Saccharomyces cerevisiae S288C: one gene and its partners. The gene in region 1 interacts genetically with each later gene. Each region holds a gene or a part of one and is shown on either strand. Other genes may lie near its edges. The genes, in order: IXR1, BNI4 and RIM101.

Evidence for each region.
Region 2: mutations in IXR1 (region 1) and BNI4 impair growth when combined (synthetic growth defect), as found in Saccharomyces cerevisiae (4 studies listed by BioGRID, with this or other methods).
Region 3: mutations in IXR1 (region 1) and RIM101 together harm fitness more than expected from each alone (negative genetic interaction), as found in Saccharomyces cerevisiae (3 studies listed by BioGRID).

The regions. Positions count from the first base shown.
Region 1 is NC_001143.9:379,848-383,608, forward strand, and holds IXR1 (DNA-binding transcription repressor IXR1), read right to left. Parts: upstream 2,012-3,761; coding exon 218-2,011; downstream 1-217. Other genes in the region: MAE1 (malate dehydrogenase (oxaloacetate-decarboxylating)), read right to left, coding at 2,869-3,761. UniProt on the Saccharomyces cerevisiae protein: Binds to platinated DNA and confers sensitivity to the anticancer drug cisplatin. Activate the expression of the COX5B gene.
Region 2 is NC_001146.8:210,130-213,890, reverse strand, and holds the start of BNI4 (Bni4p), read right to left. Parts: upstream 1,970-3,761; coding exon 1-1,969. Other genes in the region: YNL234W (uncharacterized protein), read right to left, coding at 2,378-3,658.
Region 3 is NC_001140.6:49,187-52,947, reverse strand, and holds the start of RIM101 (alkaline-responsive transcriptional regulator RIM101), read right to left. Parts: upstream 1,838-3,761; coding exon 1-1,837. Other genes in the region: WSC4 (Wsc4p), read right to left, coding at 2,368-3,761. UniProt on the Saccharomyces cerevisiae protein: Transcription factor that mediates regulation of both acid- and alkaline-expressed genes in response to ambient pH.

The DNA of each region.
Region 1 (3,761 bases):
AGGAGGGAAGACTACACACATGCGTATATGTATACAGGCAAATACATATAGACTGAAGTTAGAAAAAGGGAAAGAAAAATTATTATTAAATAAAGTAAAATTTGTAGTAATAGGAAATAGAGTAGTACAATATAAAACAAATGTTGAAAAAGGAATTCCTTATTCTCGTTGTTTGCGTGGGATAATGTTACAGTGGAAAACTAAAGTTGTTTATTTGTTATTCATTTTTTATGATCGAACCATTTGTAGTGGGGTCAGCCAATAACATGTGTTGTTGTTGTTGCTGCTGTTGTTGTTGTTGTTGGAGCGGCTGCTGCTGTAATGAAATCGGAGGAGAAACGGGCGTATTTGGGTTGGTACTGTTACTGTTGCTTCCGGTAACTGAGTCGATGGCATTTGCGGTTATGTGCTCGATACTGTCTTGGTTCTCCATGATTTTAGTGTCCATATTCAAATTCATGTTCATGGCCTTATGTGAGTGACCGGTTGGGTTACCGTTTGGATCATTTTCGTCGGGATAACAACTTTCCCATTCCTTTAATCTTTTCTTGTAAGTTTCAGTGTATTCCGCCTTTTTGGCAGGGTCTAACTCGCGCCATCTTTCACCGATTATCTTGGTAATTTCGATTAAACCTTTATCAGGATTTTCCTTGACGACGGTAGGTCTAATCTCCTGGGTGAACTGAATAAAGGGACCAGAGGGTCTCTTTGGGGGCAAAGTCTTTTCGTAAGCATCTCTCACAACTCTGTACTTCTCCCAGTTGGTTCTGAATTCTTCGTAGAATGGTTTTTTTTGATCATCCGTTAACTCTTTCCACCTTGCAGAAGCCAATTTAGACAATTCGGGGACCTTTGCTTCAGGGAATTGTTGAAGCAACTCATTTCTTATGGACATAGAAAACAGGAAATAAGCGGAAGAAGGTCTCTTTGGGCCTTGCTTTTTCAGTTGTTTTCTTCTCTCAATTCTGCTTTGAGTGGAAGATAATTTCTTCACCACTGGATGCTGTTGTTGCTGCTGTTGCTGTTGTAGATGATGATGTTGTTGTTGAAGTTGTTGTTGTTGTTGCAACTGGTGTTGCTGTTGTAGCTGCTGCTGTTGCTGCAACTGCTGTTGTTGTTGTAATTGCAGCTGTTGCTGCATCTGCTGCTGGTGGTGAGTCAATTGAGGTTGCAGATTGGGTGGTAACAAACCAGGATGAGTAGCGGTGTTGGCATTTCCTGCAGCATTTCCTGCAGAGGAAGGGTCCAAAAGACTAGACAGAGCGTTCATGTTGTTCGGGTAGTATCTCTGCACCTGTGGGAGCTGAGACAAGTACGAAGCCGGGCCAGCAGCATTGTTTGCGGCGGCCGCAGCAGCCGTGGCAGGGTTTAATTGGGAGGCTGCCAGCTGGGCAGGATTACTGCTAGTGCTGTTATTGCCGCTACTAACATTGTTGTTGTTACTGTTGTTGTTACTAGACGCGCCTGTACCCGTGACAGAAGGGTTTGTCTGTTTTTGAGTTAAATGACTTAAAAAGGAGTTGTAAAACTCGGAAAATTGTTGTTGATTGATCGTCGGATAGTTTTGGCCCGATCCGGTTTGTTGCATGTAACCGAAATCCTGAGGTAGCGCGTTAACATTAACATTGTTGTTTGAATTTGAGTTCGAATTAGCATACTGTTGTTGTTGTTGTTGCTGTTGTTGTTGTTGCGACTGCGAAGTAGGTTGCGTCAAAGATTGTGGAGGTAGTGGATAATAAACATTTTGCTGTTGTTGTTGAGGCGACTGCTGGAAGTGACCTTGATAAGGCGCTTGTTGTTGTTGCTGTTGTTGCTGCTGCTGCTGCTGTTGTTGTTGTTGAGGCTGGGCTTGAAACTGGTTCAAGTATTGGTGAGGTGTCTGGTGAGAAGCATCTCTGTACTGGGAGTCGTTGTGTTCGAGACCCTGATACTGCAGCGAATGGTCTTGGCCTATGTTGAGTAAGTTGGAGTTAGAGGCGTCGTCCTGTTTGGGCGAGATACCGGTGTTCATTGCAGTTGTGGGTACTGTTAGCGTCGTACGTATATCACAGAATGGATAGAAGAAGGGGATATAGTTGTGGTCTTGCCTTGACTTGCGTTGCCTTGCCTTGTCTGTGTGTAATAGAGTTCTTTGTGGGATATCAGAGCGAATAAACTTCAGCGTCACAGTCTCGGTAGCAGTAGCTGTTAGGCAGTGACCTAGCAGTAGAGGAAACAGAATACAATGCAGTACGATTACGGTACAGAGGATAACGAAGTAAACCACATTTACAGCGAGAACGAGAGACAGAAGGAGAGAGAGAACGAATGCGCCGGGCCGTGTCTATACTTGGCTCCACCAGCTGATGTGTGCATTTTTTTTTTGTTCCCATTCGTTCTCTCACCAAGGGGAGGTGGAAAAGAAAAGAAGAAAAAGAAAGTAAGGAAGGTCCGCTGCGCCTCTCCTTTGCTGCTGTTGCATCCGGACATCACACCCAACACAAAACCCCGCGCGGCCGTCGTCAGTAACCGTTCCACCCATTCCTCCACGGTATGTAGATCGCTAAGCACGATGTGTATGTTTTATGGATATGTGCCGATTTTTTCCGCATTTGGTATCATATTTTGTTTTGATAATTACCGTTCTTGTTATTGCTAGTTGCTTGGGTTAATGTTCTTGTGCTATTGTTGCTGTTGTTATTGTTTTTATTATTGTATTATTGTATTATTATTATATTATTATTATTATTATTATTATTATTATTATTACGGTATGTCAAGTATTATTTTTTTTTTAAAAATAAAGAAAAAAATTGTACAAATATATATATTTATATATTACTCTATATGGTTTTTTTTTTTTAAGTGCAGGCGTTGGTTATGCTTCGTCTACAATTGGTTGGTGTGCACCGATGGGTCATGTTGGACCTTGATCATAGGTCTGTACACAGGCTCCCACATTTGGGCTTTGACCCACTGTAAACATTCGTCAAAGTCACGAGGAACCTTGACAGTTTCGCCGGGAGCTCCTCCCGGTACTTGTTCTTGCTCGATACGGGCGGTTCCCTCCTCGAGTGCTTGCAAGATCACAGCGGTAGCTAGACGCGCAGAAGTGTTGGTGATGGTGTCCAGGCCGGGTAGCAACCCAGGTCTCGAGTCGCCCTCTCTTAGTGGCGACAATTCGGCTAGTTGGTCCACTGCAGCGGAGATCATCTTGTCTGTGATGGTGGTGGCACGCGATAGTACGGCACCTAAACCGATACCTGGGAAAGAGTAACAATTGTTGTTCTCCGAGATACGGTAACCATCAACAGGTGGGAAAGGAGATCCGGTAGCTACAAGAGCGTTGTTGTTGGTCCACTTCATTAAATCGGCAGGAACGGCTTCGTGTAGTCTAGTAGGGTTGGATAATGGGAAAATGATCGGTCTAGGATTGTGCTTGTGCATTTCTTCTACGACATCTTGAGTGAATGCGCCTGCTTGTGTGGAGCAGCCAACCAAACACGTTGGTTTGACGTTCTCCACCACATCATGTAAAGAGCGGGTGTTGATACCAGCCCATTCCGCATCACTCTTAGCGTATACGTGTTGGGCGGGAGTGGAGTTAGCCTCGTAAGATTGTAGAATTAACCCACGTCTGTCCATCAAGAAGATTTTCTTGCGCGCTTCTTCCTTGTCAACGCCGTGCGTGACCATATGATTCACAATTTGATCTGCGATACCGAGGCCCGCAGACCCGGCACCGTAAATAAGCACTCTGGTGTCTTTCAAGTCTCTGTTGG
Region 2 (3,761 bases), on another chromosome or scaffold:
CAGAAATTAACTCGTTATCATCATCTGCAAAAACGCTTTGCCTTTCAGAATCCTTCTTCAGAGGTTCTTCTCTTGGTTTTGGTACATCCCTTTCAACTTCAGTTTTTTCTTCATCAGAGGCCATCACTAGCTGGTCAAATTTTTGTTCAATAGACTCTAAAAATATGTCATCTTTTTTTAGTGGACCACTATCGTCCTTGATATCTAAAAAGTCCTCATTCGTGGTACCTTCGTAAGAGTGTTCTCTGGAGAAATTATCTGAGTATTCGAACCTTCCATTCTTTAAAATGCTGCTAGCAGGAGACTTCGTCAAGTCTGGAGTAGATAATACAACAGAAGATGCCTCAGTGATGAACATTCCCTCACTTTGCGCTTTGATCGATAGCGTATCTGTCAATGACCTTCTTTGCGAGTTCATTGAACTTCTCTTGTTAGACTTTGTAGATCTTGTTCTTTCTAAAGAAACGATCGAGTCGACTTCATGATTATCCAAAAATTTTGGGAAAAGAACCTCACCTGTATCGTGTTTGGAAAATGCTGGTGAGGGTGCTTCGTAGTCCAGTGATAAAAAATTATCCTTGGTTGGTAATTGAAGATCATTTTTGGCATCATCATCTTCTCTTACGTGTTCTTGTAGCGGGGTATTTATCTGTTTATCACCTCCCAATATGAGATCCATGTTTAAAGGAGTAGGTTTTCTCTGATCAATTGATCTCGTTACGTGATCTATTTTCACGGGAGTATCGTCGTGGTTTTTTCGTAGTAGAGGTGATTCAGTGGATAACACTGATGCGGCGTCAATTATTTGTTCAGTATCTTGCTTTTTGTCCTTGGATTTTGGGGTTCTTTTTTTTTGCCTCATTGGTTCCTTTCGAGGTGAGTCTGATGTTTCAATTTTTCCCTTTAGGAAGGAATTGAAAATGCTACTGCTACTGTGAGACTTCTTCTTTAGTTTTTCAGGCGTTTTTAAAGAGGTTTGAATATTCATTGAGAAAGTGCTCGATGAAGACATCTTATTTTTTTCATTCGTTACACTATTATTACCAATAACTGGTTTCGGTTCTTTCTTCTTCAGAAATGAAAATATACTCTTTTTCTTTTTATGCATAGAAGTGTCTTCAAGTACCGAGCCTGCTGAAGTAGTCCTTTGGGCAGAAGAATCAGTATACTTTCGCGCTTCTGCTTTGTTTAAACGAACTTTTGGGTTGTATAATTTACTCGAAGGAGGCGAGGGTTTCGGATCCTCTTTTAAAAATGGTGCGCTATGTGTTGTGCTTTCAGTTTCTGAATTAATGATAGTATTTTCCTCCCGCTTAACTGGTAAATTGTTGTCTCGTTCGAGAATAGTACGTCGTGTACTAACTTTGCTCCGAGGTCCCTGAGAATCAGGTTTTACTCTAGGAGTGGACAAAAAGTCAGGTTCTTCGAAAGACGGTAAACTCAAAGGGGCAACTTGAATACTATTGGATCCGTCAATGTCAATAAGGTTTGGAGAGGTCATCGCCAAGTTTTCATTTGCTTCCTCTCGTACAGACAGCCTGGATCCAGTTATATCCTCGTGATAATTGATCGAGTTGTTTTGCTCTTCGGCCTCTTCTTCTTCTTCTATTATGGAAGACTCAATATTTTGTGCCTTTCTAGTTTTTTGGTCAGCATATTTGGATCTTTCGTTCAGAATATCAGCCAATGCACTTAATGAGGGGGAAGTTGTCATATTTACCGTTTGTACTTCTGAGTCTCGGGCATTACTTTCTCCAAACGACCGCTGCAGAACTGAGCTTTCAACATCCCTATCAAGGACGGATTCGCATGGCTTTATTGATGAATTTAGACTTTGATCTGATATCTCCTTCAATATCAGAGAATTTCGAAAGGTTCTAGCATGATCAAGTGTATTTATCGACGTCGACGAATAAAAAGTAGAATTTAAAAGTTCTGAGGACTTTGAATCTGAAATACTATCCGACATATTCTGTTGAATACGTAGTGATATATCGTTATTAATAAAAACGCTGCTCGTACGGCTTTTGCACTCTGGTTGTTGAGATTTCTTTGTCAATTTATTTGAGTCGCTTTTCCTGTTGTTTATTTGCAAAGTCAAAACCTGTACTAATAAGCGAACTTGAGGGGGTCAACTCTAAGTGTGAGAATATTACACGTCTTGTTCTAAAGAAGATATAAAGCCAATCTGATTTCTTCGAATCTGAAATGATTTTTCATACTCGGGACGATAGAAGAGAGAAGTTGACTTGACGCGTCTCCGCTGACGCGCCTATATAAGACAAAGATTAGCTCGCGGGTAATAAAGAACAGGCAGTGATCTAAAGAATATATAATATAACCTGGGAAACTTATACACTTAATGGTACGGTTGTAGTTACATAATCGAGCAGTTCTTCTGCTGAGCAGTTTTTTGCAATAAATGGATTTTTTCATCATAATTATTTTTCTTGGTATTACTTTCCACGACGGTACTGCTACCGATGCTTGGTTTTGTACTTCCAGAGCCCTTTGGTGAGATTGGAGGCGTCGATTCACGGTCGCTTTTTATTGGAGTAGAAGAATTGTCTAAGAGTATTTCTGTAGGAATTTTATTTGTCGGTACTTGTGTTATATTATGAGGTATAGTAGCGTTTTTAGTTTTCACCATTTGTAGCTTGTTAACTGTACTTATATCATGCATCGCAAGTTTGGGAATGGAAAAATTTAAAACCACAGAGTCACCATTATACGAAAAATCTGGTTGAATCTTTTCCATTGGGTCCTTCCCTGCAGTAATCATACAATTTGCCAAATATGAGTAAAGTTGTCCCCATAGATTTTTGAGTTCCAGTGTGAGAAAAGATCCAAACCTGTCCTGCAATGTAGTCATAAATGCTTTTCCCATTACTTCGAAACCAACGGTTTTGATGCCGAGAATTCTGGAATGGCGTTTTCCTAATTTCACAATATAATCATCTAGGACATGAACGTTTTCAAGGTTGTCAATAGCAGAATCAAGGACCTTACAGAACGAAACTGCTTGATGTTTTAATGATGGAAAATATTCTTCTAACAAGGGATCCATTGCAATCAAATTGTCATAAAACTGTGAACAAAATAGTGCAGTATCAACCTTGTTATCATTGTCCCTTTGTTTTGTTTTACGTGGCCTGGCAGTAGGGTCAATAGTTTTGGAAATCATACCGTCAGGAGCAGTATTCAAATAGGGTCTTTCTGTTGAAGTAATATGTTTATTGGAATACAGAAGTGCTTGAAAAACTTTTAATTCTTTAGGTGTTAAATACTCCCTGAGGAGGATATCCCAGGACATTCGAAGTAACAGCAGATCTCTTGCATTAACTTTAAAGTCGAATCCTTCTGTATTCGGGGAGTCACCACGATCTATCTTGACCTGGTAGACACTACCTTCGGAACGTGAAATAGATTGTGGCATAAAATCGCTTCCGGAGTTTTTGGATGACATTTCACTTCTCATGGAATGATCATGAGAGCCAGGTCTCTCGTTTATTTTCAAATTATCGACTGGACCTATACTACTGCTGTTGTAGGAAGGCAGGGTTACGTTGTACATCATCGGTTTCGTATGGTGGACATTCCCGCTAGACATGTCGCTGTTGGTTAACAACTGCGAATGAAGTATTTTTTCTCCTGTCATACACAACCAGCTTATATGTGGATGAATGCAAACAACTGCAGCGGTCCGGTGGCGAGTCCCTTGAGGGGCAGACTCATATAAAATGGTTGCATAACGATTGCTA
Region 3 (3,761 bases), on another chromosome or scaffold:
AGTTAGTTCCCATTTGGTTTTGTAAACTCAATTTTTCTAAAGATTCTTGCAAGAATGCGTTTTCTTCATCTTTGTCCTCACTTTCTTCATCATCTAAATCTTCCATGACACAGCACAACAAGTAGTCCTTGATAATGTTCACTATACCCAACATCTCTACGAAATCATCCTCTATCTCGCTTTCGTCATCTACTTCTTCAATCGCCAGCTTACTCATGATAATATCATTAGTACAGCTTTTTTGGTTCAGGCTAAATTCCCAGTTAGGCTTCAATGAAGTTCCACCTGCCATTGTACGGCGCGATGGTAACATTGGTATCTTTGATTGTAGAGGCGGTAATATAGAACAGCCACTGGAGGAATAGCTAGGCGCAGCACGAACAGATGGATAGTGTGGCATAGCATACTGTGATTGGCGGTTGAAAACACCACCGGCAGTGTTCGAATGTAAAGGTGGCAAATGTTCAGTAAGCGAAGGACCAGTTGGATACTTGGCCAACCGTACTGGCACATAAGTTGCTGTATTTGCAGTGGCCGAAATAGAGCTACCACCTTGTACGGATTGGTATGAAGGAGCATTAGGTGGCTGCACATAGCTTGTTTGTGCTACGGGGATGCGCCCAGATGATGACGAGGACTCAGTACTACCACCGCTTTGTTGCAAAATGTAGTTATTTGTCATATTTCTCGATAGTTTGGTGAAGAATTGGGTGGCGTTTGCTATGGTCTTATTAGAACAACCGTCCTCGTAGACATTCATGCTCCGACTGTTGGCACCTTGGCTTACCGTGCTGCCGTTATTGTAGTATAATGGCGGCAAGATCGTTTGCAATCTGGCACTCAATTGTGGAGAATATACCGGCTTATACTGAGATAGCTCGTCTGAGCATAGTTGGTTTAAGGAAATAGCCCGCTGCTGCTGTTGTGAAGGCAGATGTTGAGATATACCCACGGGCAATGGGGGTAATATCTGTGGAGAAGTAGAATGTGACTTAAAGCTACCAGCTATAGCGGAAGGCACAGATGCAGAACAAGACGACACTGCGTCGCTTGCACAACTTTTGTTTTTCTTAGAAGTTCTTTTTGAGCCCCATTTGGGTCCCCTCTTTCTTTTCAAAATACCGCCACTTTCCAGATGAATTTTCAAATGCTTTTTTAAATCTTGCGGACGTTTAAACTTTTTGGAGCACGTAGAGCAACCGAACGGTTTCAATGGTACGTGAACTCTCAAATGCGAGGTGATATGGTCCCTTTTCTCCGTCTTCGTGGTACAGTCTCCCCAATGACAATTCAATTGTAGGTTCTTATGTGACTTCCTGCCAACATGGTCATGACACAGATGATTATATAGCAGCTCTGGTTGGTTGAAAATCATACCACAGTTGTCCCATTTACAATATAGTGTTATATCCTCAGAATCACCGTCATTATCCGCATCGTCGTCATCACCTGCCGGGTTATGCGCTTGTGCCAATGGCGAGGAGGAGGACGAGTCAGAGGAAGATGATGTGGTGGGTGAAACTGCCGAAGCGCCCAATAGATCGTATGGAGGAGTGTTCAAGTGTGAAGTACTATGATATGGTAAGCATGATGAAGAAGTGCTGCCTGGTGACATCCGTTCATCTTCTTGACCGTTCAAGCCAATAGCTTCCGTGGTACACCTAATTCTAGGCCTCTTCGAACAATCAGAAGACCTTTTAGATAGGTTAGGACTGGGCAGCCCGTCCTTCTTTGTGACGTTAGAAACGTCTGTCCCATTTTCTACTATACTCTCCCGGCTGTGTTGAGGTGCGGCAGTGCCATTTTCTTTATTAAGCAGATCTTCCAATGGCACCATCTTAAGTCAATTTAAACAAACCTACTTTACCGTTTTCAGTATTTTATCTTTGCACTTGTTCAAAAAGTGTTGTGCAATAGCAATATTACTTTCTCAGTGGAAGTGATAACAGACCAATAAAAAAAAAAAAGGTTATAGACGGTGACTCTTATGAAAACATTTAGTTCCTTTCTATATTATTGAGTCTTAATTTTTTATCTTTTGTCTCGTAGATTGGCATCCCTCACCCGTCTGAAATGATTTTATAAGCCTCCGTCATCTCGGACGTAATTTTAGAAACTCCGAGCTGGACGGCTATTTTATTTTCTGCGCCGTAATCTGTGAATCACAGAGAATGTCTCGCACGAACGCGGTATTTAGATTATTGTGCCTGCTGTCACTGGGCAGAGAAAAGTATGTACAAGATAACAGCGTTATTGTCGTAAAGCATTCTTTTGAGAACATTCGAAGGAAAAAAACAAAGTTCAGAATTAAAATTATGTATGTATTATCGTTCGTGGAATATTTATTACGTATAAGAGCTGCAGTCTTTATTCGTTCATTAGCCGCAGAACCCTCCTGGAGTAGTCTACGTTGTCTGATAACGAAATGGTAGAGTGGTTTGTGGCATCGTCATTTGCTAAAGTGTTAAGCATCTTACTTGGGTCTAGCCTCTGATCCACCAGTACCGTGTCTTCACCTAGAGTAACGTTTGATTCCATTTTTTCGTGTTGCTTTTGAATGGGCGAATGAAGAAAAGTAGAAGTTCTTCTGGGAAGAATGGGATCGTGAAATGGGCTTGCCAACGTGCTTGGGTCATTTGGTGGACTGCCTGCAGTCAAGGAATACGTAGATTGACGTGGGGATGGTGATTCAGACATAATTTGTCCCTTTTCATCAGTGTATATTAATCTTGGGGTCGAGAAAGTTGAATTTGAAGATGGTGAAGGCGTGTGTAACGTGGTAGTGGTAACTTCATTTGGGTACTTGGACTGGTAAAACTTACTCTGATATTCATTCTCAAAATCTTGAGCCTTCCGAGCGGGTCTTGTTCTATAATGATGTATTAAGTATATTAGTATGCATATAATTACCAAACATACCACTCCAACCACGACGAAAGTAGCGGCTATTTTCCCGGGCGAATCCCAGTACCCTTTCTTTTCTGTAGACTTGTTAGTTGGTGTATTGCTGTTGGTGGTGTTACTATTGTTATTGTTTGTTATTCTACCACCTACGCTGGCAGACGTAGTAGCCACTGCAGAAGTAGGAGTAGCCCCGAGGGTGGAAGAGTAAATCTGCGTTATTACTTTTTTCATGGTGAGATATCTCGAGGTGATTTCCGAAATGTTAGTGTCCATGGTGTGCACTGAAGTCACTGTTATCACAGAATACTTTAAGGAGGTCTGCAGGTTTACAGAAGTTATAGTGGACGTTATTGGAGATGCTGTGGTACTGGTGTAAGTAACCGTAGTGCTTGAAGGGGCTGTACTGGGTGATGTCGTAGTGAACGTTGTGCTCGTTGGTGTTGTATTAGACGAGCTTGTAGGTGCTGAAGAAGAAGTTGGCGATGTTGTACTTGTTGAAGTGGAAGTTGACGACGTCGTGCTTGTAGAAATGGGGGCTGACGATGTTGTGGTTGGAGTTGATGATGATGATGATGATGTGCTCGTGGAAATGAGGGTTGACGACGTAGTACTTGTGGTGGTAGATGTTGATGATGTGACACTTACGGTCGTAGAAGTCGACGATGAGGTACTTGTGGTGGTAGAGGTTGACGATGTCGTGCTTGTGGGAATGGATGTTGACAACTTTGTGCTTGTAGTCGTGGGCAGTGCCGATGTTATATCAGTTGATGGTGTTGTACTGGTTGAGGCGGTTGTCAATGGGGTCGTACTCGTTGACGTCAGAGTCGGCGAGATTGTGGTTGTGTCCACAATACTCG